Linked DNA regions of Oryctolagus cuniculus. The protein of the gene in region 1 interacts with the protein of each later gene in a pairwise test. Links are inferred from orthologs where the notes say so. Each region holds a gene or a part of one and is shown in the gene's direction. Other genes may lie near its edges. The genes, in order: GEM, AHCYL1, PDLIM7, TFIP11, KCTD9, TRIM27 and LZTS2.

Region 1 (2,234 bases):
GGCAACAGCTTTATCTGCTATGCCACAACACCGGCCCTGTGAACAGTTATTTTCAATTATATAAGACCATCTTAGGTGAAGTTGTTATTCTCAATGCTAGTTTTTGATGTTTGCTTTTTAAAGATTTTGGGCTTCTGAGCATGTAAGTTATACCTTTTGTTTAATGAAAACCCACCTAAAAAGTAGTCTTCAAACAGTACTTTCTACTTTGTGTATCTGTGTGGGTGCAAACTGTTGAAATCTTTACTTAGTATAGAGTTGATCTTCTGTATATATAGCTAATTAAAAATGAATCTTAATGAAGAATAGGATGAGAGAGGAGCAGGAGGTGGGATGGTTTTGGGGTGGGAAGAACTGCTATAATCCAAAACTTGTACTTATGAAATTTATATTTATTAAATAAAAGCTTTCTATAAAAAAAGAAAATCCACCTATTCTCCTTAAATGATTCTTAATTTTGTTACTTGGGAAAAGCAAAATGTTTTTGAGTAGTCAGAAAAGGCTCCTTTTTGGAAGTTTAGATAGAAGATGGAAATTTTGTTTGGCAGGGTATTTGTTTAATTTATCAACTCAAGCTGTAGAAGAAATCAGAAAGTAAAAACTTCTGACACAAATACTGTACTACCAGCCATGGTTACAGCCCCCGGGCATCTGGTTGACCTGGGCGAGCAATGTACTTTGGGGAGTTGAAAGTAGTTTCCTTCTCTTACCAGCATGGGCACTTTAGGATACAAATACTGCCTCTCTGCAAACTGACACCTCTTTTCCCAGGCCAGCATGAGCTCACGGCAGATCTTGTCATTTCGTTAGGGGGAGAACGAATGGCTGCAAGACCACTGCATGCAAGTCGGGGACGCCTACCTTATTGTCTACTCCATCACAGACCGAGCAAGCTTTGAGAAGGCATCTGAGCTGCGAATCCAGCTCCGCAGAGCCCGGCAGACAGAGGACATTCCGATCATTTTGGTTGGCAATAAAAGTGATTTAGTGCGGTGCCGGGAAGTGTCTGTATCAGGTATGAGGGGTGGTGCCAGGACTGCGGAAACATCCTGGGTGGTGTGCTTCTGCCTGCCGACAGGTGCCCTTCCTCCTCTCTCTCATGAGGCTGGGGACAAGGACTCAAAACAGTCCTACACAGTTTTAGGTGTACCACTAACTCCTATAGCCCCAGCAGTTCATTCCCATGCTGGGTGCTGTTCTATTGGCCATCTGGTCTACCTGCAGGATTCTCCTCTCCCCAGCTCCAAGAGGTTTCCTGGAATTCCTTTAGGGAAGAGTTCATGCTCAGCAAATACTGGCAGTCCTTGACCTTTTCTCTTTGTCCTTTGTATTCTCCAGGGAGATCCCAAGCATTCAGGGAAGTGAAAGAAGTGTCCTCATACAGGAAGGATAGTGAACTCTGACTTAGGGGAGCTGGGAGAAAGAGTCACTGGAAGCAATCATTTATTCTGGTTGACTCTGGTTCCTCTAAACCTGGGAACACCCTTCTCCTCCCTGTTCCCTGCTTCCAGTTAAGGCACAGTCTGGTGGTGTCAAGCACACTTGTTCACACTTAGTTCAGGGCTGATTCATATGTGCTGTGTACAGACTCGAGTGCTTTTAGGGCCACTGGGACTTTATTGGCCTAATGCAGATTTGGTCTTTGCCATGATTGTAAAATTAAAGTACTGCATTGCCGGGCCCTGTAGAGGAGAAAAGAAGCCTCATAAGGAGAATGCCCTAAGCTAGTTTGGCAAGGTCTTACTGCAAGGATGTGACTGTCAACAGTAAGCATTGTCTTCCAAGGCTGAACTGCAGTAGGGGGTCATTGAAAACCGTGAAACATTTGAAGTAGAGATGCTTCCAGAGAAGCTAGGATAGTTTGCTGTGTTTTACATGTTTGCAAAACCCTCAAATCTTTTTCAAAATATCCCATCCCTACTGTTTTTCTTTTTTATAAAGAGAGGAAAGCCACATAGTGGAGCATTCTGATATTCAGCATCCTTATTTTCAAGTCAGAAGAAAGATTTAGGAACACGGGCTTGAGAATGAAGCAGCCCTGGGCTCACTTCCAGGCTATATGAACTCCCTCAGTTTTTAAAAGACTCTTCTCATCTTTTTCATCTAGGTAATAGATTACTAATATATTTTCCAAGACCTTTGTGAGCACTGAAAATGTTTAGAAGTAGCTTAGTGTAGTTCTTAGCACATGGTAGGTCTGCAGTACATTAAGGCTGTACTTTTATTGGTTTAAT
Region 2 (3,950 bases), on another chromosome or scaffold:
CAGACATGGGATTTTAAATTGTTTGCTGTATGATGTAAGCTGTCCCCTGTGACCCACAAACCTCCATTAAAAGCTCTGCTCCATGTCACAGCCTTATTTTCATGGTTGCTTTGGACTAGGGTTGGGGGTGGAGGGAAGCAGGGGCTGAATGGACAGAAGGAGCTAAAGAAGCAGTCACAAGACCAGAAGAGTGACTAAAATTCTAGAACCAGCAGAAAACCGGAGCCAGGGGGTAACCATGAGAACCCAAGTACCCCCAGCAATTCACAGAAGTCCTGGGGGAGGGCACTGGACTTTCCACAGGACACGGGAATCACAGCCAATGTCATTACCATCTTAAAGGACAAGCAGCCTCAGCTGACCATAGCCCACAGACAGGATTCGCCTTTCCAGCGGAACTAAACCTTGCAAAACATGCATGTGTCACGTGCACCTTCGCCTTGGCAAGGGGACTGCACACAGTAGGGCCCAGGCCAGGGCATGAGCAACCCCAGAACGCCCTGGATGCCCGCTGGGTGCCCCTCCCTCCACCTCCTGCTGGCCAAACTGACCCATGGGCCCTGTCCCAGAGACTGCTCCGCGGCAGCTCTGCGGGCTGAAGGTCTTGTAAACAGGCAGGGCCCAGGAGGAGACGGTGGTGAAAGAAGTCACAAAGGGCTGTGTGGACACACCAGACCGCTCCGATTCCGCGCTGCCCCCCTCCCCCCCCCCCCGCACCGTGAGGTCAAAGAGGCGAACGCTAACCCCGTGGGAAGGCGTTTCGGGTCCAAAGAGCCTAGTAGACAGGGCATGGGTGTCAGCGGGCCCTCTCTGGCCTTGGATGTATCCCAGGCTCCCAAGCATCGCTCTTACGCCCCTCTGAGGCCTCGCCCGGAATCCCGCAACACGGAGACCCTCGGCGGCGCGGCACCCTCGCGGGAAAGGCGCGCTACTCACAGGGCTGATGGTGCCACCTGCCGGCGCAAAGTGTTCGGCTCTCCCTGGGAGCGCCTACCCGCCAGTGGGAAAGAAGGAGGGCGTCCCCTGAGGCCCAGCCCAGCGTGGTGACGTCAAGGAAGAATGACGTTTCTTCCCGCCTCTTCCCCGTCCCCCGAGCTGCCAGTACTTGACGTGGCGTCGCCGCCCTCTACCCTTACTTTGCGTGCGTGTTTGCGTGTGGCGGAGGTGGCGGCGCGGGCAGGTCGGAGCTCCGCGCTGGTGCTTCTGCCGCTGCTGCTGGGGCCGCCGTCGCCCTGCTGCTTTGCGGGCTGCTGAGCCGGGGAGGCGCCGGCCACAGCACCTGACAAGCCGGCGCGGCTCGGCGCGGGGCCCGGCGGGAGGGTGGGCGAGCGCGTGTCGGAGGGCGCCGCGCGCGCGGGCGGGCGTGAGCGCAGGAGGCGGGGGCGGCGGGACGGCCGCAGGCCTGGCCGGCCGGGGGATGTCTATGCCTGACGCGATGCCGCTGCCCGGGGTCGGGGAGGAGCTGAAGCAGGCCAAGGAGATCGAGGACGCCGAGAAGTACTCGTTCATGGCCACCGTCACCAAGGCGCCCAAGAAGGTGCGGGGGGCTCTGGGTGGCGGCGCGGGTCTGGGCTCCGGCCTTGCGGAGGGGCGCGAGCCAGCAGGAGCCGGGGCGGGGGACGGCTGGTTGGAGCTTGAAGGACTAGGGTCGGGGACGATCGGGGACCCCGGAGGTGGCGTAGGCGGTCGTCGAGGAGCCGCCTCGGGCCTGTGCCGGGCTGAGAAGACCAACCCTGACCTGGCTTTCCTTTGTCCCTCGGCCCTAGTCCTCTGGGACCCTTTGGAAACCCGTCGGAGCCGGGCCTTCAATTGGCGGCCGATTTCTGGCTGAAGGGCCTCGGAGCTGAGAGTGGGAGGGGGGCGAGCCAACTTGGCCGATCCCTGAGACCAGCCCGGGGGTTGAGGATGTGCAGAAATCCTTCTCTCGGGTGGGTGGGTCAATTGGCAGAGCTGCTGCGAGCAAACCTTGGGAGCAGCGGCCGATGTGTCCCACACGACTGCGTGTCTCTGAGCCGCAAGAGGAGAGAGTGCGTGGAGCTCGCTCCGTTATGCAGGTGACCGCAGCGTGCGCTTGATAAGCAACTGGGATTTGCACCTGCGGTCTTCATTTGCTTGCACGTCCGTGGCACGCTGACGTGTGGAGGTTGGTGACGGCAGACGGTGGCACGAATGCAGGTTGCTCCTGGAGTCGCGTGTGTGAATCAGTTAGGCATGCCTGGAGACGGAGCTTGGGTGGGTTGGAGGGGTGGGTGCTAAAGAACGGTTGCTCATTCTCTGCCGCCCTTCCCGAAGCAGAACGAGTTGAGTCTTTCGCGCTGTGGGTTGAGCTCAGAGGACACCCTCTGGTTCTCTTGTACACGGTAACCTTTGGAGGCTTTAGGCTAACTGGCTCTCTGCACAGTAGGATTGGGATCCCAAGTGCTTTCTAATCATTTACTGCCAACCACGTCTTGACTTTGCACATACCTGGCACGCAGTTAACAGCAGACCAGAGGTGACCTTTCTGAAGCCGGAGAGAACCGGCAGAAGTAGTTCCTCCTTGTGCGAAGACAGAGTGATTGGAGGCTGCCTCTTCCTGCGGTGTTTAACGCGATGCACGCCTCTACAAGCTGCACGGAGCAGGGTTTGCAGGAACAGTTAGAGTTGGCGGGCCCCTCGCACTTGAACCACTTAAGCTGTCTTAAGTGGGAGAGATGGCTCTCTCGTTTTTTTCTTAAGGGAACCAGTGTGCAGCTGCAGACTTGAAACGCAAGGTAGAAAAGACAAGTCATTGCTGTGTGCTTCAGTTCTGTTTTCTCACAGAATTCCGGTTTTTATCCACAAGGCCTTGGAGAGATCGTGGCCCCTGATGGTCAGTGTGAGGACCCTTCGTGTTTAGGGCTGTCAGTTGAACCGGCTGCTTTGTTGGGGCAGTGACCATCTGTCATCTTCTCTGTGTTGTGAAGAACCGGTTGCAGCCCTGGATGGCAGGATGGAAGGCCCTGGTACCTCAGTTCCCTGGGCTCTTCCTCTGCCCCGGCTCCTCCTCTTTTGTCTAGCTGCTTCAGAGTGTCAGGTATTTGCCTGTGTTCTTGCAGGTGCCACTGTTGCTGAGACAGAAGTCTGTACTGGGATCCTAAACTCCCATGCAGTCAGGGATTCCCGCTCACCGTTCTGTCAGTCGTGCCTCACTCTGTACCTAGCACATAGAAGGTACTCAAATATTTATTGCCCACCTAGCTAACTGGTAACTGAGATGTCTGTGTGGCTGCCTATCAGGAATAAATACCGCCTTCCTCTCTCCTTCCCAGGATATTGTTCATGTGTCTTAACGTCAGGCCAAATGCTGATGATGGTAGAGTCTCCCATTCTATTAGCTAATAGAAGCAGTCTCTGCTGGGAATGAGGGGAAAGACCCTGTCCCAACTTTCTGTTTGCTGATGAACATGAACGTGGCCCCCCACCGTGTTCCTTGTTTATCTCATCCTTTCTGAGCTGTATTGTTTAGCAATTGCGCAGCCTTCGGATGACAGTGCTTTATGGTGACTAATGAAAAGCATTTATTTAGTTAATGGCTCAGTTGAAGACCAGTCAAGGTCGCATTGGGAGTCCAGCGTAATCTGTTTCTCAGAACTTCAGCTGAATAGGCCATTCTGACTGAAGTCACTTTGTGCCTCCGCCATGCGTTGATAACGTGAAAGTGTGGGAAAAGCACGAGGAACAAACTGAACCAGTGAGAAACAGGCCGGTTCCCGTGCTGCAGTCTTTCACCAGTGAGGGTTCCGGCCTGGCTCTCAACCAAGAAGTCCTTGGATCCTGCTGAGCGCTGAGATCCCTCTGGAGTTGAGGCGGTTCTTGGTGCCAGAGGAAGTAGGCTGCTCCAGGGTGACCTTCACGGTCCGCAGTCGGGTCCGATCCGGTCTTTGGTGGTCAGCTTTTACTAACTTTGTTTGCCAAGGACTAGAATGAAC
Region 3 (4,056 bases), about 56 Mb from region 1:
CCCCTTAGAGCAGGCAGCATCTCAGCGGAGACTTGAGCAAACTGAAAGCAGCCAGAATGATCCGTGTAAAGGCCCTGAGGCCAGAACATCCTTGGCACATGGAGGAACAGTGAGGAGGCCACCTGGCTAGAGCAGAGTGAGCGAGCAATGGGCCCTGTTTACTACGGTTATATGAGTCTTCTTTATTTATTTGAAAGTCAGAGTTACACACAGAGAGAAGGAGAGGCAGAGAGAAAGAGAGAGAGAGAGGTCTTCCATCTGCTGGTCCACTCCCCAGATGACTGCAACGGCCAGAGCTGGGCCGACCCGAAGCCAGGAGCCAGGAGCCAGGAGCTTCTTCTGGGTCTCCCATGTGGGTGCAGGGGCCCAAGGACTTGGGCTATTGTCTACTGCTTTCCCAGGCCATAGCAGAGAGCTGGATCGGAAGTGGAGCAGCCAGGTCTGGAACCAGCGCCCATATCGGCTTTATCTGCTATGCCACAGCGTGGCCCCCAAGTTACATGAGTCTTAAGGCTTAGTTTTGAGCCTACTGGAATGCTAAAAGCTGAGTGTGAGTTCCCTTTAACAGTATCAGTTGAGCTGGTCCTTGGAGAAGGCCCCGGAGGGGACCAGGGTGAAAGCAGGGGCCCATTAGGAGACTGCTACAGGTCACCAGGAACAACCGGGGCCGCAGCGACCAGTGCGTGCCCCTCTAGGACTGGGGGCCGCGGAGGGGCGTGGGTTCAGGAGAGAATGTCTGTAAAGCGGAGGAGCGTGGGCGCCGGGCGCTCACCACGGTGCATGCGCTGCGCGTGGGGCCGGGCTCCGAGCTCCGGAGACCGGCGCGAGGCCGAGCCGAGGACGCCCTCCAGCTTCGTCCACTCAGGTTGTCCACGGCAAATGCAGCTGCACGGTCACTCCTCGTCCCTCTCATCCTTCCTCACCCCGACGCCCCCATACCGACCCTCTGGCAACCCCAATTGGGGAGCACTAGCGCCCCATTTTCCCGAGGACACGGCTAACGTCCAGTGGGGCCTGGCTTCGAAGGTCTCTCTCCCCTGCTGGCGGGAGGCGCAGGGGGCGGGGCGAGGCGTGGGCGGAGCAAAGTCCTCCCGACGCGGCGTCCCGCAGCCAGGCCCCGCCCAGGCCCTGCCCCGCTCAAGGAGAAGGGGCGGGCAGCGCCGTGTGCTCAGAGCCAGACGGGGCTTCGTGATTGGACAAGGCGGAAAGCTTGGGTGGGGCTCTCCCCCGGCAGAGCGACCGCCTGTGGGTGTGGACACGCGGAGGGCGTGGTCTCCCACTCCGCCCCCTTCCACAGGCTCAAAGCGGGCGGTGTCCGCGGGGGCGGGGCCAGAACGCGGTCTGCCGATCCGATTCCAGCGCGGCTCCTAGGAGCCCGCCGCGGAGCAGCGCCCCGGCGGGGCAGAGCAGGTACCGGCGGACGCGCGGGGCTCTTGGTCCGAACCAGGCGGGGGCCGGGGGCCTTCTGAAGACTACGGAGCGCACTGGGGGTCTTGGCCGGCGCTGGGCCTGCTCCTGCGGGTTCGGCCCCTGCCTCCGCCCCCGCCCCCGCCTTCCTGCGGCGAAGCCCGCTTGTGGCGGGGCCGGTTGGCGCCTGCGCCGCTGCATGGTGCCTGGGCTGGGGGCTGGAGGGAAACTGAGTCACGGCAGGGCGGGCACAGTCCTGTGCGGGAGGCACCAGCGTAGCTCCCCTTCCTGGCCACGTTTTGGGGTCCCCACTGCTCTCCGCTGGAGACTCGTCCCACTCCTGCCCCCAACCGCTCAGAGCGCCCAAGGGGTCCCGCCCCGGCTCCCAAAAGCCTCGACCTGCCCTGGAATGGCCAGGACGCGCTCCAGGCGCCTCGCGCCCGTACCCCTCCCCCTCGCGCGGAGCCCCCGTGGCTCCCTCCACTGCTCTCCGCGCAGTATCAGCTTACACGCCTTATATAGTCCGAGCAGGCTGCAGCCGCGGCCTGCCTGCCGGGACCTGGGGGCGGGGGAGCCGAGAGCCGGCCCCTGACTCACCCCGCTGCCCGAGGCTCCAGGCTGGCTTGGGGGGAAGCCGTGCCAAATTAGTCCCACCCGTGGATACCGAGAACTTTAAGCCTGGGAAAGGTTCACCCTCCCAGGCCCTGGGCGGGGGGCTGCCCTTGTCTGTTTTTTTTTTTTTTTTTGGAAGTGAGGTCTGCCAGCCAGCCTCACAGCCTAGCCTGGCCAGATACGTGCCCACCCGGGCCTGGGGTGCGCTCAGTGTCTGTCTTGCCTGCTTGGCACCTGTTCAAGGCTAGCGTCCGCAGCTGGGACGCTCACTTTCCCATTTCTCCTCTCAGGAGCCGACACCATGGACTCCTTCAAAGTACTGCTAGAGGGTCCAGCACCGTGGGGCTTCCGGCTGCAAGGGGGCAAGGACTTCAATGTGCCCCTCTCCATCTCCCGGGTAAGCCTGGTTGGGAGAGGGGCTCCGAATAGCGGCGGTGGGGTGGGAAGGTTGTCTTTGATTGCTCAGGTCTCCAGGGGGAATCTAAGCAGGAGGCCCAGGTGTCAGCAGGCCAGGAGGTGTCTGTCCAGGTCCAGAAAAGTGGTGGCTGCCTACTCCCAGGACCCCTGCCTAGGTAGACAGGGGAGTGGAGCCCCCAGACTCCCATATCTGTGCACTGTACCTGATGCCACTTCACCGAGCCTCTGCGGTCACCTCTGGGGGCCGAGCAGAAGGGAGAAGGCCCATTGGTGTGGGAGGGAGCTTGATGAATTCAGCAAGGATCTAAACTTGAGAACAGTGCTCGGGAGCCTGGCCCCAGGCAGAGCACCCTGTGGAATCTTACCACCGCCTCACTGCCACCTAGGGGATAGCAGCTGCCATCCTGTTTGTCCAAAGGAGGGAACTTGGAATGGTGGAGGGCTTGTCCACGGCAAAGCAGAGATTTGAAACTGGGCAAGGACAGCCTGCGGGTTTTACAGGTCCCCAAGTCAATGAGAGGACCTGTGTCTCCATCCAACTGGTCCTGGTTTAGGATGTAGTGGCCTTTGACCCTGAGCGAAGGTGTGGTGAGGCTAGGCTGTAGGGCTGGGACCCAAATTCCTGAGAGCCTGCCCTGGTGGGGCGGAGCTGGTGGCTGGCTCCTCCCCATGGCAGGGGGATTGCCTTATAAGCCCAAGAATGCAGCCCCAGGCTGGGATGGCCAACAGTGGCTGGAGTCTACCTAGCTGAAAAGGGCTGGCCTGTGCCTGGACCTCCGAGCCCCCTCCCCTGGTGGCCAGGCTGTGACTCCTGGGACCCAGAAAAGAAACCACCCGCCCAGAGCAGTGAGGCCAGCACTTGGGCCAGTCCCTCTCTCTCTCTCTCTCTCTGGCCTGGGGGTCAGGAGGGGGCGGGGACTTCCTGCCCCTACATCCGCCAGTGCAGGGAGGCCCACCCAGCCGCCTGGTGGGCAGACAGCTGTTGGCAGGAAGCCCAGGGCAAGCCCAGCCTGAGGGGCCTGAGTGTTGTCCAGGCACCAGGCAGTCTGAGAGAGGCCCAGGGCAGAGTCTGTTCGTGGCGGTTTGGCCTGGTGGCCGGGGCAGGCAGTGTTCTGCCCCCCGGTATCTTTCTGCAGAGTTTTGGGGCAGGCAGGTCCCTAACACACACACACACACACACACACACACACACACTCCACCCTGAAACCTACCCTGCATCCCCCTCCCTGGGAAAATGCCACCCCATGTGGCTGGGAGACTTGGTCGGACTGGTCTCCGCCTCACCTCTTTGCTGATGAGAGTGATCTTTCAGATGTGGCCTGCGGGGGGCACTGTGGGCCCAGGCTCCCCTGTCTGCCGCCCCAGCCCAGGGGTGGGACCAGCAGCTAAGCCCAGCCTTGGAGTTGGACCCAGGCCCTGGTGGTGGGTGGATGGAAGTGGTCTTTTTCAGCGTTGGGCCAGCCCCCTCCTCTTCTCCTGACCCCAGAATGAAGGGAGGCGGGAGGGGCGAGGGCTGGCTGTGGGCCCAGGCCTGGGAGATGAGGTAACGTCTGAGACTGGTGGGGGGAGGGGTTGGGCTGCCCAGTGGAGCCCTTGGGCTGACTCACGCCCCCCTCTCCT
Region 4 (3,500 bases), on another chromosome or scaffold:
TAGCACAGGTGCGCAGCCCACCCCACTGCGACATAGTCTGTAGCACAGGTGCACAGCCCACCCCACTGTGACGCAGCCCCTGTCGCACGTTCGCATTTCCTGGGTTGCACAACCACCCTAGTAAGCAGTTGGATTCTTCCTGCAAGAACTTTTCCCCGGGCAGTGACCGAGGGTGTAATTAAGAGTGAAGCCTGTGGTTCCAATTCCAGTCTCTTTTTAGTAGTTGGCGTAAATCTGTGTTGTGTTGAGAACACGAGCATGAGTGAGGCAGGGCTGGTGACCGGGAGGAAGAGTGAGACTTCCCCAGCGCTAGGTGGGAAGCAGGGAGGGGAGCAGTTTTTGAAAAGTTGTAATCCTGTCTAAATCCTTTTATGAGAGAAACAACCTGCACGAGTATTTCTGGGGCTTCAGTGTGTTTCTGAAAAGCTCAGTGTGGGGACATCAGCTAAGAAGTGCAGCAGGGGCGGCGTCTTGTGCCGCATCTTGGGCTGCCGTTGTGGGGCAGGGGTAAGCCTCTGCTTGCAACACTGGCATCCCACGTGTCCTGGCTGCTCCACTTCCAGCCCAGCTCTCTGCCAATGTGCCTGGGAAAGCTGCAAAAGGTGACCCAAGTCCCTGGGCCCCTGCTGCCATCCACGTGCGAGACCCAGGTGGAGTTTCAGGCTCCTGGCCTTGGCCTGGCCCTGTCTTAGCCGTCGCAGCCAACTGGGGAGGAAGCCAGTGGATGGAAGATGTGTCATTCTCTGTCTTTCACATAAATAAACGCCACATCTCCATGAAGTGCACCTGTACTTCAGAGTCCGTGGGTACATGTTGTCTGAATCCCTGCACTTTGCCTGATGGAAGCTTCCAGAGGAGTGAAGCGGGGAATCGAGTGTGCCGGCGCTCTCTGTGATAAGTGATTTGTGCTTTCTCCCATCCACGGTGCAAGCCTCTGGTTGGGACATGAGTTACGTGAGGTCAGCAGGCTGTTGTGTGATCACATAAGTGCTGGACGTTTCCAATGGCCTGGGCCTGGGCAGGGCAGGGCTCTCCTTGCTGGGGACCGTGCTGCCTGTTGAGGGCAAGGCTGCTTGACATCCCCGAGTGGTTTATTCACATGAATTGCTGCCGTCTGAGCTCTCTGTCTTCTGACAATCGACAGGCATCATAAACCCCATCGAAGCCAAACAGAGGAAGGGCAAGGGAGCCGTGGGGGCCTACGGCTCGGAGCGGACCACGCAGTCCCTGCAGGACTTCCCCGTGGTGGACTCGGAAGAAGAAGCCGAGGAGGTGAGTGGAAGGCAGGCCTCGGTGTCCTGTGCCGTGGCGGGCGGCCGACTGCTCCTGCGTTCTGTCAGGCCTCGTGCTGTCCGGGCTGGGCTTCGAGCCCGTTGGATGGAGACACACAGTAAGCCAGCAGCTCCACGTGCTTAGGGATGCAGGCTGTGCTGGAGACGAGGAGGTGACAGGAGGGGCAGGGAAGGGGCGTGGCCCAAGTGTAAGGCACAGGCTGGGACGGAAGTGATCTCTGATCTCAGGAAGGAAGGAGTCCCACTGAGATGTGGCTCAGGGAGGGGTGGGGCGGGGGTTGGAGGCGTTTGGGTTTCACCCAGAGTGCAGGAGGAGCCACCTGCTGGCAGCTGTGCTGCTGACAGAAGGGGTGGGGCGGCTCTCCACAGAGAGCGGGAAGGCAGGCGCCGCAGGGGAGCGCCTCGCTCGTGTCGTCACCAGCCTCCTCGTGAGCAAGGACACGCTGGACAGTGTGGAAGTGACAGGTCTGAGTCGGGCTCTCAGGCTTCAGAGCTGACGGGCGTGCACGCCACGAGCCAGGTGCCAGGCTGTAGGGGGTGGTGGGGACTCGGGCACACAGCTGAGGACGTAACTTGTGGAAAGCCGCTGTTCGTGTTCGGCGCTAGGCACTTGTTGCCATGACAACACGAGCTTGGGATTGCCTGATCTGATTCCCCCAAAGCCAGCAGACGTCCAGATAGTGTCTGAGAAAATAAATTATGTGTGTAAACCAGTGTGAGAAAAGTGGAGGGACAGCCACACCGTCAACTTCTGAGGGCTGCGCCGTGCCATCCTCAGGCCGGCTTGCTTCCTCACTTCTCTTCAGATCTCCCTGCAGAGGGGTTTTATACACCCGAGTGTCAAGTGGATCCTCACCTTGAGACTTGTTTATCATTTTAATCAGAACCGAGGCTTGGGGTACTCCTGAAGTCCTTCCTGTTGCATTTCTGAGTTTCGCACGCGCTCAGTTTCACACCAGCAGAGCCTGCCCACAGTGATGCCCAGCGGGGTGGCCTTATCTCTGGATCTCCCAGCAGCACGGGGCTGCTGCCCCGCCTTCCGAGCCTCATTGTCTGTAAGAGGCTGGGTGGCTGCAGCGTCACAGCCTTGGTGTGGAGTTGGGGTGAACGTGAGAGGCTGCCCTGTGGTGTCAGTGGTCTTCGTCCCACAGGCTGTGGGAAGTGCTGTTTCCTGTGTGACCAGTGGTTTCCCTGGGGTTTAGGAGTTTCAGAAGGAGCTGAGCCAGTGGAGGAAAGACCCCAGCGGAAGCAAGAAGAAGCCCAAATACTCCTATAAGACGGTGGAAGAGCTGAAGGCCAAGGGCAGGGTCAGCAAGAAACTCAGTGCTCCCCAGAAGGAGATTTCGCAGGTCAAGGTACGGGGCTCCGGACATCGGGTTCAGGAACCACAGAAAGCAGTCCCACAGCCCAGAGGCCGCCCCTCACTGCCTATCCCTGAGCTTCCTGGGGGCTTCAGGGCCTCGTGCGTGGAGAGGGCAGCGCTCCTACTGTGGCCCATGACAGTGCCACGCTGCTCTCGTTACTCTAGGTTTAGTATGATCATCCAGTTACACTCCGTCAGTTGTTCCTCACGGCAAGGGGTGATGACCTTGGTCACATCCCCATCACAGCAGTGGTGACCCAGGTCACATCCTCGTCATACACAGTGGTGGTGACCTTGGTCACACTCCCATCACACACAGTGGTGGTGACCTTGGTCACACTCCCATCACACACAGTGGGGTGACCCAGGTCACGCCCCCGTCACACATAGTAGAGGTGACCCAGGTCACGCCCCCGTCACAGTGGTGGTGACCTTGGTCACGGCCCCATCACACACAGTGGTGGTGACCTTGGTCACGGCCCCCTCACACACAGTGGTGGTGACCTTGGTCACGGCCCCATCACACACAGTGGTGGTCACCCACGTCATGCCCCCATCACATACAGCGGTGGTGACCCAGGTCACGCCCCCAACACACAGTGGTGGTGACCCAGGTCATGCCCCCAACACACAGTGGTGGTCACCCACGTCATGCCCCCATCACATAAAGCGGTGGTGACCCAGGTCACACCCCCAACACACAGAGGTGGTGACCCAGGTCACGCCCCCGTCACACCCAGTGCTTCCCCAGGGTGTGCATTAGCTGGAAGCTAGAATTAGAATCAGAACCTGGACTTGAACTCAGACACTCTAGGAGATGAGGGTGTCCCAGGTAGCAGTTGAAC
Region 5 (3,500 bases), on another chromosome or scaffold:
TTCTGAATTTTATAATTCTGATTTATACTGGTCTTTCATATTTTGCATTATTTACTTTTTTAGCATATTTTAGGATTCTAAATTATAGGTATCTATTTTGTATTTGTTTCTAAGAAGATTTTCATTGTTTCTAGGGATATAATTCTTCTTAGTATTTCTTATGCTGTAAAACCTTTTATATGTGACTTGACCTCAGTGCCTTCCTGTTTTTCAGTTGTACATGAAATTAATTTTCCTTGGCTTGAGAAGGAAAGATTTATTTGGGGATATTTTTTGTTTTCTGTGAAGTATTTAAAAATATAGGACTTACTTTATGTTATATTTTGGCCTCGTAAACCTTCTTTCATCTGGACTCTTTGGACTTTATTCTATTCAACTTATATTCTTTTCCTAGCATCTTGTCATCAGAATGGAACTTTGTCTTTTGAAAGGAGTTTTGTGGTTGGTTTTGAAAATTCATTTCCATCTCCTTTAGATCTTATTTAAACTAGTTACATCATCCATTTTGGATATAGGCATGTACCTTCCACTTTCAGCCTGCTGTTCTCAAATAGACATGTTGAACTGTGAAGTTAGTATGTATGGATTGCTTTTGAGTTCTCAGATTCATCACATACTCTATTGTTTCTATGCTTTTTCCTTCACAAACACTGATAGTGTGCTGTTCTTAAAGCTGTCAGTATTGGTGGGAATACTATGGATTTGAGTTTTTGCTCTCCAGTAGCTCTGGTACACTTTGATGTGCGAATTTAGTTTCAACAATGATGCCATTGCCATCTTTGCAGAATTCCAAATCTTAATGTGTTTACTATTTTCTACATGTTGTCTCTAGATCCTCAGACCGATTGTAAACCAGCTGAAGGATGGTTAGGATCCCACACAGACTGGCTAACATTAAATGTTGGAGGGCGGTACTTTACAACTACACGGTAGGTGCATGTATGTGTGTGTGTGTGAGAAAGAGTGTGTGTGTGTCTTACAGAGTCAGTAAAAGGAGTACTGTGCGTGTCCATTTGTTCTGTCTTGCAATTTGCTGATTTCTTTAAAAGATACTCAGATGCAGCTTAAGTGTAACATGTTATCTGAAGCCATTTTTAGAAAGTTTTTTGAAGAAAAGAATAGGACCTAGTTTACAGATCATTCCTGAGAAAGCATGAAGACCTGAATTTTATGTTTCAGAACATGCTTTTCAGATAGTGAATAATATATATGTATATATACACACGCAATGTAAATAAAAACTAAGAATCCTGAAATTTGTAGAAATTACAACTGTTCACATTAAAGAAATTTTAAAAAGTAAGTTTAGACAATCTAGAATATTGTGATGTACTAGCATACTAGAAGAACAGATTAGTAGTTAAAATAAAAGAAACTAAAATAATATTTAAGTCAAAGGAAGTACCAGATTGGAAAGGATCTTGATAAATGGCCTCTTACTGCACGTTTTTGTTTCCTAGCATCACTCCTACCAGGTGATAGCATGCATCTTGTTGAGAGAGCAGCTGAATTCGAGTATGCTCTTGAGTTAAATGTGTTTGTTTATAAAGACAAATGGAGAAATCAATTTTTTTCCCTGAATTCTTAGGAGCACTTTAGTGAATAAAGAACCTGACAGTATGCTGGCCCACATGTTCAAGGATAAAGGTGAGTGTAAGTCACTGTTTTCACATTTTATGTGGTCTGTTTGTACCCGTATTCATGACCTTTTGTACTTTTCAGTGATATCAATAATCTTTACAAGAGTAAAACTTGTTGGTATGTCATATAATTTATCTTCTATAAATTTCTAACTATATTTTTTGTTTGTGGGGGGCTTTCTTCATTATAATGGAAACACAGGTGTCTGGGGAAATAAGCAAGATCATAGAGGAGCTTTCTTAATTGACCGAAGTCCTGAGTACTTTGAACCTATTTTGAACTACTTGCGTCATGGGCAGCTCATTGTAAATGATGGTATTAATTTATTGGGTGAGTTTTCAATATAATTCACATTTTTATAAGTTTAAGGTTTTTATTTTATCTTCACTTAGAAATGTTTATTTTCACAGAGTGAAAGTATATCCTTTCCATTTTTAAAATTAACTTTTTCACATATATATGAGTATATACAGGTTTAGAAAGATATTAGCACAAGTATATATTGTCTTTAGAGAATATATATATATGTGTGTGTGTGTATAGTATCTATCTATGCATGTATTTGTGTGAGTATATATCTAACTCACAAGTTTTAATTTTAGATTTTATCACAAGGGGCTTTAGAATTTTTTTTAAGACTTGAATTGTGAATATGGGGTAACTTCCAGTTATGGGCCTTTCTATTATGTTCAGAAGCATAGCAGTCAAGAGAGAAAGCCAAACTTTGGAATTAGAGTCTGGGTTCTACAACTTACTAGAATATTGACTTGGTGAAATTGTTTCTAAGTCTTTTTTGAAAAATTAGTGTTAAAAATTTTCTGCGGACCAGTATTGTGGTGCAGTTGGTTAAACCACTGCTTGAGACCCAGCACCCCACATTGGAGTGCCAGTTCAAGTCCTGGCTATTCTGTTTCCAATCCAGCTCTCTGCTAATGCATTTGGGAAGGCATTTTGGGCAAGGACTTGGGTCCCTGCCACCCATGTAGAAGGCCAGGATGGAGTTTTGGGCTTTTCTGCCCAGCCCAGACCTGGCTAATGTGATCATTTGGGGAGTGAACCAGCGTATAGAAGTTCTTTCTTTGTCACTATGCCTTTCAAATACATGAATCCTTAAAAAATAAATAAATAAATAAAAATTCTGTCTTCTCTGCCTATGTCACAGACTTTTATGAGGACTTATGGAAAGACGTAGGCAAAAGCCCTTATAAAACAGTAGTTGCATATTAAAACTTACAGGCCTCCAAGGGTCTGGACTTGGTCTTATGTTAGTACTTGCAGTAGGGTGGAGAATGTGGCAGTCTTTAGGTAATATGCCTACTCAGCCTCTGCAACTTGTTGGCACATGAAAATGTAGACTTAGAGTGCCAGAGTGTTGATTTTAAAATAAAAGCTGGTTATCTATATAAAGTTTTCTGATTTTCAAAATACTGTTGCATGTTTTTGTTGCACATGTTGAGTACATCAGAATCAGCTGACTGCTAGCTTACAGTTTCTGTAATGAAATTAAAATACCCAGTCAACCTTTACATGTTCGAATATTAAACTGTGGATTCTTTTTTAAATGTTTGATTGAAATAAATGATATTATTTGACCTTTTCAGGCAGCTCTATAACTTTTCCTAACCAAATTATTTTTTCTTTATTTTTAAAAATTTTATTTACTTATTTATTTAAAAGGCAGAGAGAGAAACAGAAGCAGAAAGAAATCTTCCATCTAGTGGTTCACACCCATAATGCCCCCAATAGGAGTTCTAGGAGCCTAAAACTCAATCCCAGTCTTTCATGGAGGTAGCAGGGACCCAAGTACTTGAACCATCACCTGATATCTCCCAGGATGAGCATTATCCAGAAGCTGGGTC
Region 6 (4,173 bases), on another chromosome or scaffold:
AGCTCTTGGCTCCTGGCTTCAGCCTGGCCCAGCCCTTGCTGTTGCGCCTGTTTGGAGAGCGAAGCAGCAGATGAAATATCTGTCTCTGTCCCTGTCTCTTTGAGAAAGAACTCTGGCTTTCAAATAAATAAATAAATCTGTAAAAATAAAAAGTAGTCTTCCCCTCCCCCAACACCTTCCCGGTTGTTCCAGGATCATTTATTGAACTTTTAGAGCCAATCTGATTTTTCCTCTACATGATACCAAATTCTTACCAACATTTTAGTCTATTTCTCAATTTCCATTCTGTCCCATCGATCTGTCAGCTTATTCTTACTTTAAGCACTGTACCTTTGCGGCATTCCTATTATTTTTTCAGCCAGATGAGAAGAGAGATAAGAGAGGAGAGAAGCTGCACAAATATGCATAAATACCTTAGGTCTAATGGACTCTCCGAACAGTATGGCCCCGCCCAATATTTCTACGTTTTTTGTAAGTGGGCTAGGGTTACTGGGGTCTGGAATTTCACAGACTGGGTACTCAGAGTGTGGTTCAGAGGACGTGGGCTTGGGGTTGGCATGTCCACTTCGCCTCTCGGATCCCTCCAAACAGAAGTTCCGGAAGCAGAGGCCCTACTGCTGAGACCCAAAACCACACTGAGAAAAATCCCAAGGAAACCAGCAAATACCAAGTAGGGATGACGGGAAATCCACTGTGTGATAAGAGAACAGACAGCCCGGGATTCCAAGACCCCGGGGCACTGTGGGATTCGCACTCTGAACTTCAGAAAGGAACAAGAGGTTTTCAGGTGCCGCTCAATACAACAACCCTACGCCGTGGGTATTTTGCGGTTTTCACGGATAAACATCCTTACGGCTCAAAAATTAAACGATTAAGTCTACCTTCTTGCTGAGGTATACCGATTCTGAGGCTCAGAATGGTAAAACACCTTGCATGAGCAGAGATAGGGAGTAGCAGAACTAGGCTCGCGGTTTTTCTCCCTGCGGAAATGTTTCAGAATGATAAATACACCCATTTTTCCCCCTAAACAAAACGGCGAGCGGCAGCAAATGATGGCTCTGCTTAACAAAGTGCGTCACGTACCGGATGCAGCTCAGTTTGCAGCCCCATCCGCTAGCCTCAGGGCCTGCGCTTCCCAGTCCTACACAAAGCCAGCCCTCTCTGGCAAGGGCTAAGGCCTGAGCGCCCAAAGAAAACCTCACAAAAGACCAGGGGTCCTCAGCGCCCGGTTCGGAGGTCCCGTCCCGACCCGTCCCGCCCTGGGGCGCGCGCCCAGCCAAGCCGCCCTCCGCGGCAGGAAACAGCTAGGCCCCGAGGCCAAGAACCGCAAGCCCCGCCCCACGCCGCCCCGCCTCTTCCGGTCGCGCCGGGGCGGGGTCTCCGCGGCCTGCGGGATCCGCTTGGACGCAGCCACGTTGTCCTGCGCGCCTGGCGCGCCTGCCCCTGTGAATCCGGCCCGAGGCGCTGCGCGCCTGGCCCCCCTACCCGCGTAGCCGCGGGGCTCCGTCGGGAGGCAGCCTTCCGGGCCTCGTTCAAAGGGTACAACAGGGCAGCGAGCTGCCCGGCCGCCGGAGCCTCCCAGGGAATCCGGGCCCGAGGGGCACCGCCCTCCGCCCGCCCGGCTCGAGCAGCGACCCGGAGAGAGCGCCGGAGAGTCGGGCTCCGCGCAGAGCTCGGCGCCGGGGGCCCATGCCCGTGCGCCCCCGCCAGCCCGCGCCATGGCCTCCGGGAGCGTGGCCGAGTGCCTGCAGCAGGAGACCACCTGCCCCGTGTGCCTGCAGTACTTCGTCGAGCCCATGATGCTCGACTGTGGCCACAACATCTGTTGCGCGTGCCTCGCCCGCTGCTGGGGCTCGGCCGAGACGAACGTGTCGTGCCCGCAGTGCCGAGAGACTTTTCCGCAGCGGCACATGCGGCCCAACCGGCACCTGGCCAACGTGACCCAGCTGGTGAAGCAGCTGCGCACCGAGAGGCCGTCCGGGCCCGGCGGCGAGATGGGCGTGTGCGAGAAGCACCGCGAGCCGCTGAAGCTGTACTGCGAGGAGGACCAGATGCCCATCTGTGTGGTGTGCGACCGCTCCCGCGAGCACCGCGGCCACAGCGTGCTGCCGCTCGAGGAGGCGGTGGAGGGCTTCAAGGTGAGGGCCCCCCCCGGCGCGCGCGCAGCGAGGCGGACAAAGGGAGGGGAGAGCCACGGGGGCTTCCCCTTTTTTTCCTTGCCTAGAAAATGGCTGAGCCGGACGTGTGGTTCACAGCCGTCATTTCCTCTCTGTCCGCTCCCGAGCCTCCGCACTCGGATTTGGAGGAAAACCTGTAGCTGCTGGGGAAGCCAGAAGTCGCCCCACCCCACCCCCACTCCTATCCCTGTGTTTCCCAGATCTCGGACGCTATGGACATAAAGACGTTCCCTGGAGCCCTTCCCCCACCCCCACCCGCAAACCCGACACCCTACAAGATGTGCATAAAGCTGTGTACACATCAATAGGCTCCTGAGACACTCTGCTCCCAAATTATAGAGGAAACCCGCTCGGACGGTGACCGCGGTGTCCGAGTCATCCGGCAGATGCCCGTCACTTAGTCTGTAAGCACTTCTTGTAAACCGTCTTGTTCTAGAAGCTCATGGAAAGGAACACATTTCTCCACTGCTTGAGTAAGGCATTTCGCCATCCTGAGACACGGGAGATAACAGGTATTATGATTAAGGGGATAAGAAGTGCAAAGCCTTTTGCAAACTGTTGAACCGACTGCGGCAGCAAAACAATAACACGGAAACAAAGTATCACGTGCAAAAGAGTTTTAAGGAGACATTCCAGGCGTCCTTGATGTTGTCTGTTTGCTATGTGTTTGAGGGCTACAGGATTATACCCACAGTTTTGTCCGTGTTTAAAAGTGAATGCATTTCTGCATAGTCACCTAACATGGAGCTTTTAACTGCATCATTTCACCTGCTCTCCTTGTAACTGGAATAGGCTGGGAAAGTGGTATTTACCCGTCACACATGAGGAGAATTAGAGAAGTTGCTTCATTTTCTCAGTGGACCTCTGTGGAAGGTCTACAACTTGACTTTAAATCTCCTAGTCCAGTCACCCTAATGCTAAACTGGGTAGAGGATTCATTTAAGAAATGCACACATTGCCATAGAAGAGAGGTGGTGGCCCCTGTGCTTTGAGTCTTCTGTGGATGGTAGTGTGGTCTGAACACAGGCTCGCACCAGGCACCTGGCATCAGAATTGTAGTTTCTGTCTGTGGGGAAGCAAAACAGCCATGGTTATACTATGGCCTGCCCAACTTTTTTTTTTTTTTTTTTTTTCAGGAACAAATCCAGAACCAGCTGGACCATCTAAAAAGGGTGAAAGACTTAAAAAAGAGGCGCCGGGCGCAGGGGGAGCAGGCACGCGCTGAACTCCTGGTAAGGGCTTTTGGAATTCCCAGATAATAGCGCTTTTGCTGGTCCGTGCTTCTGTCAAGCCAACTTGCTCAGTTCTTCCAGTTGCAAGTGAAACAACCCCATGTGGCAGTGGAAACTTAACCTGGAGAACCAAGGGGCTCCCCTACTTTTGGGGAGAGGGTGGAGGAGCTGTGCTTGGGAGTCATAGATACCTGCTGGATCAGTAAAGTTTAGCTTGTTAGCTGCTTGTGGGCCAGGACTGATGTTTGGCAGACTTGAGATAGGTGAAATTCTTGAGAATAGTTAGCTGGCATCCTGTGGTGCACTATCCTTCTCACAGGTGCTGGTGATGGATTTGTGTCAGCCCCACTGGTTGACTTTCTGGAGTGTTCATTCCCCTTTCTAAACAGAGTTTTTCGCTCTGTTTTCTTTGAGCAGTCTTCCAAGGCTTTGGCAGGAACCTGATGTGCTAATTCTGATATGGGTATTTTGGAGTTTTGTTTTAGAAAAACAAAAAGTACAGAGGGTTTTATCATATACACTTACATATTTACCACCTAAGTGTTTACAATGTGAGTGGAATAGATAAAATGTTACAGACCTCTAACCATTAGAGGTGTTTGCATCTGAAAAGCAAACTCCTAGACTAGCAGTGTCTGGAATCTTGAGAGAAATTGTGTCAGTTCTAAGTTGTGTCCCTTCTAAGCAGGGAGCTCATTCCTAAGGTGTCCTTAGATTCCACCACTTGCTCTGCCCACACAATCTGCTGAGACCACAGTTCCCCT
Region 7 (4,026 bases), on another chromosome or scaffold:
TGGGCTATGTTTCCCTTTCCAGGGAAAAAGAAAGAAAAACAACCCATCGAGCTAAAAATAGAGCTGAGCGCCGGCCAGGGCTGTGGCCTGGAAGGGGGGGATGCTCCTTCCTGGGGCAGAGCCCAGCTCTGGCTGGCCTTGGCCCTGCGGGGGAGGGCTGCCGTCTGGGCGAGGGAGGCCGTCCTCGCCAAGGCCAGCGGGCATCAGCTGACCTGGCCAGGTCACAGAGACCCCTAAGGAAAGGTCTGTGTGATAGAGTGCATGCAAAACACGGTGTGCAGTATGAGAAGCTGTTTGTGAGTACTGCGAGGCTGTCAGCATGTGAAAGATGCTGGGAGGTGCGAGGGCCTGCGAGTTGTTGTGAAAGACTTAATGCACAACCGGTGTGACGCGGGGCTGCGCGGGAGCTGGCCTGGGAGTGCATGGAAGGAGGCCTGGGGGACCACGTGACGGATGAAGCTCTGCGATTGCGGCTGCCCGAGACTGAATGTGGGAAAGGTCGTGTGGGTGTTAAGATGTTGTTTCCAAGAGGGTGAGCATATGCGTGACCCTGAGGAGACCGTGGAATGTTGTCTGGTGGGAAGCTGGTGTAGGCTTGGGCTGTGCCTTTCCACTGGGGAGGCCAGAAGCCGCCCTTCCCCGGGCAATGACCCTTCTCTTAGCCAGCGACTCCAAGGGAAAGTTGGGGAGTCCAGAGCCGCGCCAAGGGCAGGCCTGGGCTGGCGTCCACGGGCACGGGCTGTGGAGTGGGAGAAGACCCCCCTGGGTCGGGGGGCGAGTAGATGTGCTCTGAGAACCGACCGCCAGGTGGCGCCGCCTCCGCAGATCCTCGTGTACCGCCTCCAGCCCGCTGTGGGGTGGGCCAGGCAGGGACCTGGCCGCGGCCCCCGACTAGTGCTGGGGCGCAGGGCCCCGGCAGCCGAGGAGCGGCGGGCAGCTGACCCTCGGCTTCCCGCTCTGGACTCTGAAGCTGGAGAGTGTCTGGGGCGGGCTTCGATTAGAGAAGCGAGGGGGAGGGGCCGCCGCGCCGCGCCTTGGCCCTTTGTGCTCGAACAATGACCAGCTGCCGCTGGCCCCGGGGCCCGGCTCTGGTAGGGGGTGACCCGCCCGCCGAATCCACAGCCGACCGAGCCGTCCGACACGCAGTCACCGAGACTCGGCGGGAGGGGTCCCGCTCGCCGCCGCGCAGCCCCTGCGTGCGCCCCAGCAGACACGCGTGACGTGGGGTGCCTGCGCGTGTCCGCGCCCCGGGGCGGGGACGCCCCTCGGACCCCTCCCCCGCGCCGCCCCGCGCCGCGCCGCCCACTCGGGCCGGGAGGGGACTGGCCCGGGCCGGGTGCGCCGCCGAGGCGGAGGCGGGGCCCGGCCGGGTCGGGCCGCTCCGAGTGGCCGCGCGCGGGCCGGAGCCGGGCGGCGCGCCTGTGGAGCGCTTGGGGCGGCCCGGGGCTGAGCATGGAGCAGCGCGGCGGAGGTGAGGGGGAGGCCGGGGCCGGGAGGAGACCCGGGGTCGCCCCCAACTTCTGTGCGGCGGCGTCGGGAGGGGAGGCGGCGTTCGGCGGCCGCCGTGCTGGTGGGGGGGGGGGGTCGTCGGCTGAGTGGGGGTGGGCGGGGGGAGGGGTCCCGGCTTCCTGCCTCGGAATGGGAACTCGGATCCCAGACTTGAGCCTGCGTGACTGTTCTTGGAGTTGAGGTGGGAGGGCGACTTTCCCGAACTCCTCAGCCCCCAAAACAGGTCTGCGCGAGCTCGGAGCGCGGCCAGAGCCGTCGCTGGCCCTGGCTGAGCCCCAGCCCTCAGCCCTCCGTCCTGCCCACCGCGGCGATTACTCGGGAGAGCGAGGGGTTCCCTTTGCCCACAGCCACGGCGCATTTCTCAAAATGGAGCCTCGGCTTGCCCCTCCTTCTCAGTCGGGCTCTGAGAGCGGGAGTCCTACTGGCTGGGCCTGGCTGGCCGGCTTTCGTCGCTCTGGGTCTGGGGGGCCTTGGCCTCTTGCGGTTCCGGGGCCTGGCGCCATGGGCCGGCCTGCCTGGCTTCCTTGGCCGCCTGACCCCCGCGCCTCCCTGAGCCTTTGTCTCGGCCTTTGGCTCTTTCTCCGAGTGGGCCCATCGCCTTCCTTCAGTTTTCACTTTTCTCTGTGCTCCCTGAAGAGGAGAAATGCGGACAGAAATGCCAGCCCGCATGGCCCCCTTAGCAGCCCCTTCCCCCGTCCTGTCCGTGCCTTACGTGGCCCTGCAGAGGGAGGAGGAGGCTCCCGGGTGCCCGCGTTGCCCAGGGCTGGAGCTTGGGGTGCTGTCAGGCCCCAGCCCTGCAGCCAGGCCCACCATTGCTCCCAGCAGCTCCTCCGGCAGTCTGGACTGACACCGACCTGGTTCTTGGTGTCTTTTCACTTGGGTAGAGAGGAAAGGGATGAACTCGATGGAACACAAGCAAGAAAGAAGGGGAACAGCTCGGACAAAGGTGGTTCCCCCTCTCCCCACACTCCAGAGTGAAAACTGGCGGGTTCCCTCGCACTCCCCGGTGCCCGACATGCCTGCCCTCAGAGCCTTCTCTGTGGGTAACCCGGCTCTGGCCGGCCTGCTGTGCACACACAGGAGTTCGCGGGGGGGAACCCATGTCCTGGGTTCCTCTTCAGCATCTCAGCACACTCACCTGTTACCTGTGCATTTACTACTCCTGCGTACTTGCATGGTGACCCTTAATTACACACGCATACGTGTGAGGTTCACACGTTAGTTCACACCTAGACGGGTGTATGTATTGAACATGTCCAAACACACACTCATGTTTTCACACGCATTATTCCTGGCACGCAGTGCTCACTCTGCTGCCCCTGGGCATAAAGGCGGCCATGAAGACCTGTACACGCACACATTCCTACTCCCAGGAAGTTTTCTGTCCGCCTCCTTGGCCTGCACGTTCTGCATGATGATTTCGGCAGATGCCAGAGCCCTGGTGCTCTGCGGCCTCGGGACCGGAGGGAGTTCCCCAGGGAGGCTTGCTCTCCCCTTCCAGGAAGGAGCAGAGCCCGGGGAGGTGGTGAGGTCTTGGAGCAGCTGCCAGAAGTGATGGTGGGGCTTCCGCCTCCATCGGGGTTTCTCTGGAGATGGCGGAAGCTGGAAGCTTCTGATAGAGGTTGGAGTCGGGCAGCGCCCATGAAGGCTCCTTTAGGCCCCATGTCACACCCTGACTGGGTATGGAGAGGGTAGGGGTTGTCATAGAAACAAGCAAGTGCCTGCATCACCTCCAGGAGGCAGGTGTGTGTGCCCTGAGAGCTGTGGACTGCCTGTTTGGCCAGCTCCACCCTTGCCGCCTCTCTGTCTGGGAGAAACTGAGGCCCAATAGGGGGAGGTGGGGCGCTGCTTGGCCTTGGCTCTTTGTTCCCTAATTATTGTCTGAGTTGCTGGTGGTGTCCTTGAGGTTGTCGCTGCCCAAACTGCCCTGTAACGAGGCCACCTGTCCCAGGAGACTGGGGACCTGGGCCAGGTGCTGGGAGAGAGGGCTTCTTGCCTAACCTGAGTCCTGGTCTCCGTGGGGCTGCAGGTCTGGGTCTGGGCCTCCACTGCCAGGTGGCCCTGTGCAGGCTTCCGATCCCTTCATCTCTGCCTGGTGGCCCTGTGCAGACCAGGGAGCAGTGGTCTGGGGCCCAGAGAGAAATGAGATTCGTGCCAGTACTTGGAAGAGGAGCCTTGGGGGGGGGGGGGGGTCAGGGCGTTGTTACTCATGTCAGGAAGGCGTTTGGCCTGGATCAGGGGACAGCACAGGGACTCAAGGCCTTGTATAGGGAGAGGGTATAGGATGCTGGGATTCTTTTTGTTTTGTTTTGTTTTGACAGGCAGAGTGGACAGTGAGAGAGAGACAGAGAGAAAGGTCTTCCCTTGCCGTTGGTTTACCCTCCAATGGCCACCACGGCCGGCGCACTGCGCCTATCCGAAGGCAGGAGCCAGGTGCTTCTCCTGGTCTCCCATGGGGTGCAGGGCCCAAGCACTTGGGCCATCCTCCACTGCACTCCCAGGCCACAGCAGAGAGCT

Evidence for each region.
Region 2: the proteins of GEM (region 1) and AHCYL1 interact in binary tests that used the Homo sapiens proteins (3 or more experiments, as listed by UniProt). The two-hybrid records come from large-scale screens. The link is inferred for Oryctolagus cuniculus from reciprocal best matches to the Homo sapiens genes GEM and AHCYL1.
Region 3: the proteins of GEM (region 1) and PDLIM7 interact in binary tests that used the Homo sapiens proteins (3 or more experiments, as listed by UniProt). The two-hybrid records come from large-scale screens. The link is inferred for Oryctolagus cuniculus from reciprocal best matches to the Homo sapiens genes GEM and PDLIM7.
Region 4: the proteins of GEM (region 1) and TFIP11 interact in binary tests that used the Homo sapiens proteins (3 or more experiments, as listed by UniProt). The two-hybrid records come from large-scale screens. The link is inferred for Oryctolagus cuniculus from reciprocal best matches to the Homo sapiens genes GEM and TFIP11.
Region 5: the proteins of GEM (region 1) and KCTD9 interact in binary tests that used the Homo sapiens proteins (3 or more experiments, as listed by UniProt). The two-hybrid records come from large-scale screens. The link is inferred for Oryctolagus cuniculus from reciprocal best matches to the Homo sapiens genes GEM and KCTD9.
Region 6: the proteins of GEM (region 1) and TRIM27 interact in binary tests that used the Homo sapiens proteins (3 or more experiments, as listed by UniProt). The two-hybrid records come from large-scale screens. The link is inferred for Oryctolagus cuniculus from reciprocal best matches to the Homo sapiens genes GEM and TRIM27.
Region 7: the proteins of GEM (region 1) and LZTS2 interact in binary tests that used the Homo sapiens proteins (3 or more experiments, as listed by UniProt). The two-hybrid records come from large-scale screens. The link is inferred for Oryctolagus cuniculus from reciprocal best matches to the Homo sapiens genes GEM and LZTS2.

The regions. Positions count from the first base shown.
Region 1 is NC_091437.1:119,681,504-119,683,737, reverse strand, and holds part of GEM (GTP-binding protein GEM), read left to right. Parts: intron 1-810; coding exon 811-1,015; intron 1,016-2,234. UniProt on the Homo sapiens protein: Could be a regulatory protein, possibly participating in receptor-mediated signal transduction at the plasma membrane. Has guanine nucleotide-binding activity but undetectable intrinsic GTPase activity.
Region 2 is NC_091438.1:60,339,268-60,343,217, reverse strand, and holds the start of AHCYL1 (S-adenosylhomocysteine hydrolase-like protein 1), read left to right. Parts: upstream 1-1,150; 5' UTR 1,151-1,417; coding exon 1,418-1,537; intron 1,538-3,950. UniProt on the Homo sapiens protein: Multifaceted cellular regulator which coordinates several essential cellular functions including regulation of epithelial HCO3(-) and fluid secretion, mRNA processing and DNA replication.
Region 3 is NC_091437.1:63,489,781-63,493,836, reverse strand, and holds the start of PDLIM7 (PDZ and LIM domain protein 7), read left to right. Parts: upstream 1-1,256; 5' UTR 1,257-1,410; intron 1,411-1,952; exon of another isoform or gene 1,953-2,220; intron 2,221-2,309; 5' UTR 2,310-2,320; coding exon 2,321-2,416; intron 2,417-4,056. UniProt on the Homo sapiens protein: May function as a scaffold on which the coordinated assembly of proteins can occur. May play a role as an adapter that, via its PDZ domain, localizes LIM-binding proteins to actin filaments of both skeletal muscle and nonmuscle tissues.
Region 4 is NC_091452.1:20,273,462-20,276,961, reverse strand, and holds part of TFIP11 (tuftelin-interacting protein 11), read left to right. Parts: intron 1-1,144; coding exon 1,145-1,272; intron 1,273-2,494; coding exon 2,495-2,647; intron 2,648-3,500. UniProt on the Homo sapiens protein: Involved in pre-mRNA splicing, specifically in spliceosome disassembly during late-stage splicing events. Intron turnover seems to proceed through reactions in two lariat-intron associated complexes termed Intron Large (IL) and Intron Small (IS).
Region 5 is NC_091433.1:48,748,590-48,752,089, forward strand, and holds part of KCTD9 (BTB/POZ domain-containing protein KCTD9), read left to right. Parts: intron 1-832; coding exon 833-929; intron 930-1,588; coding exon 1,589-1,647; intron 1,648-1,842; coding exon 1,843-1,971; intron 1,972-3,500. UniProt on the Homo sapiens protein: Substrate-specific adapter of a BCR (BTB-CUL3-RBX1) E3 ubiquitin-protein ligase complex, which mediates the ubiquitination of target proteins, leading to their degradation by the proteasome.
Region 6 is NC_091436.1:154,135,823-154,139,995, reverse strand, and holds the start of TRIM27 (zinc finger protein RFP), read left to right. Parts: upstream 1-1,373; 5' UTR 1,374-1,718; coding exon 1,719-2,138; intron 2,139-3,313; coding exon 3,314-3,409; intron 3,410-4,173. UniProt on the Homo sapiens protein: E3 ubiquitin-protein ligase that mediates ubiquitination of various substrates and thereby plays a role in diffent processes including proliferation, innate immunity, apoptosis, immune response or autophagy.
Region 7 is NC_091446.1:28,872,964-28,876,989, reverse strand, and holds the start of LZTS2 (leucine zipper putative tumor suppressor 2), read left to right. Parts: upstream 1-1,226; 5' UTR 1,227-1,471; intron 1,472-1,609; exon of another isoform or gene 1,610-2,334; 5' UTR 2,335-2,404; coding exon 2,405-2,455; intron 2,456-4,026. UniProt on the Homo sapiens protein: Negative regulator of katanin-mediated microtubule severing and release from the centrosome. Required for central spindle formation and the completion of cytokinesis.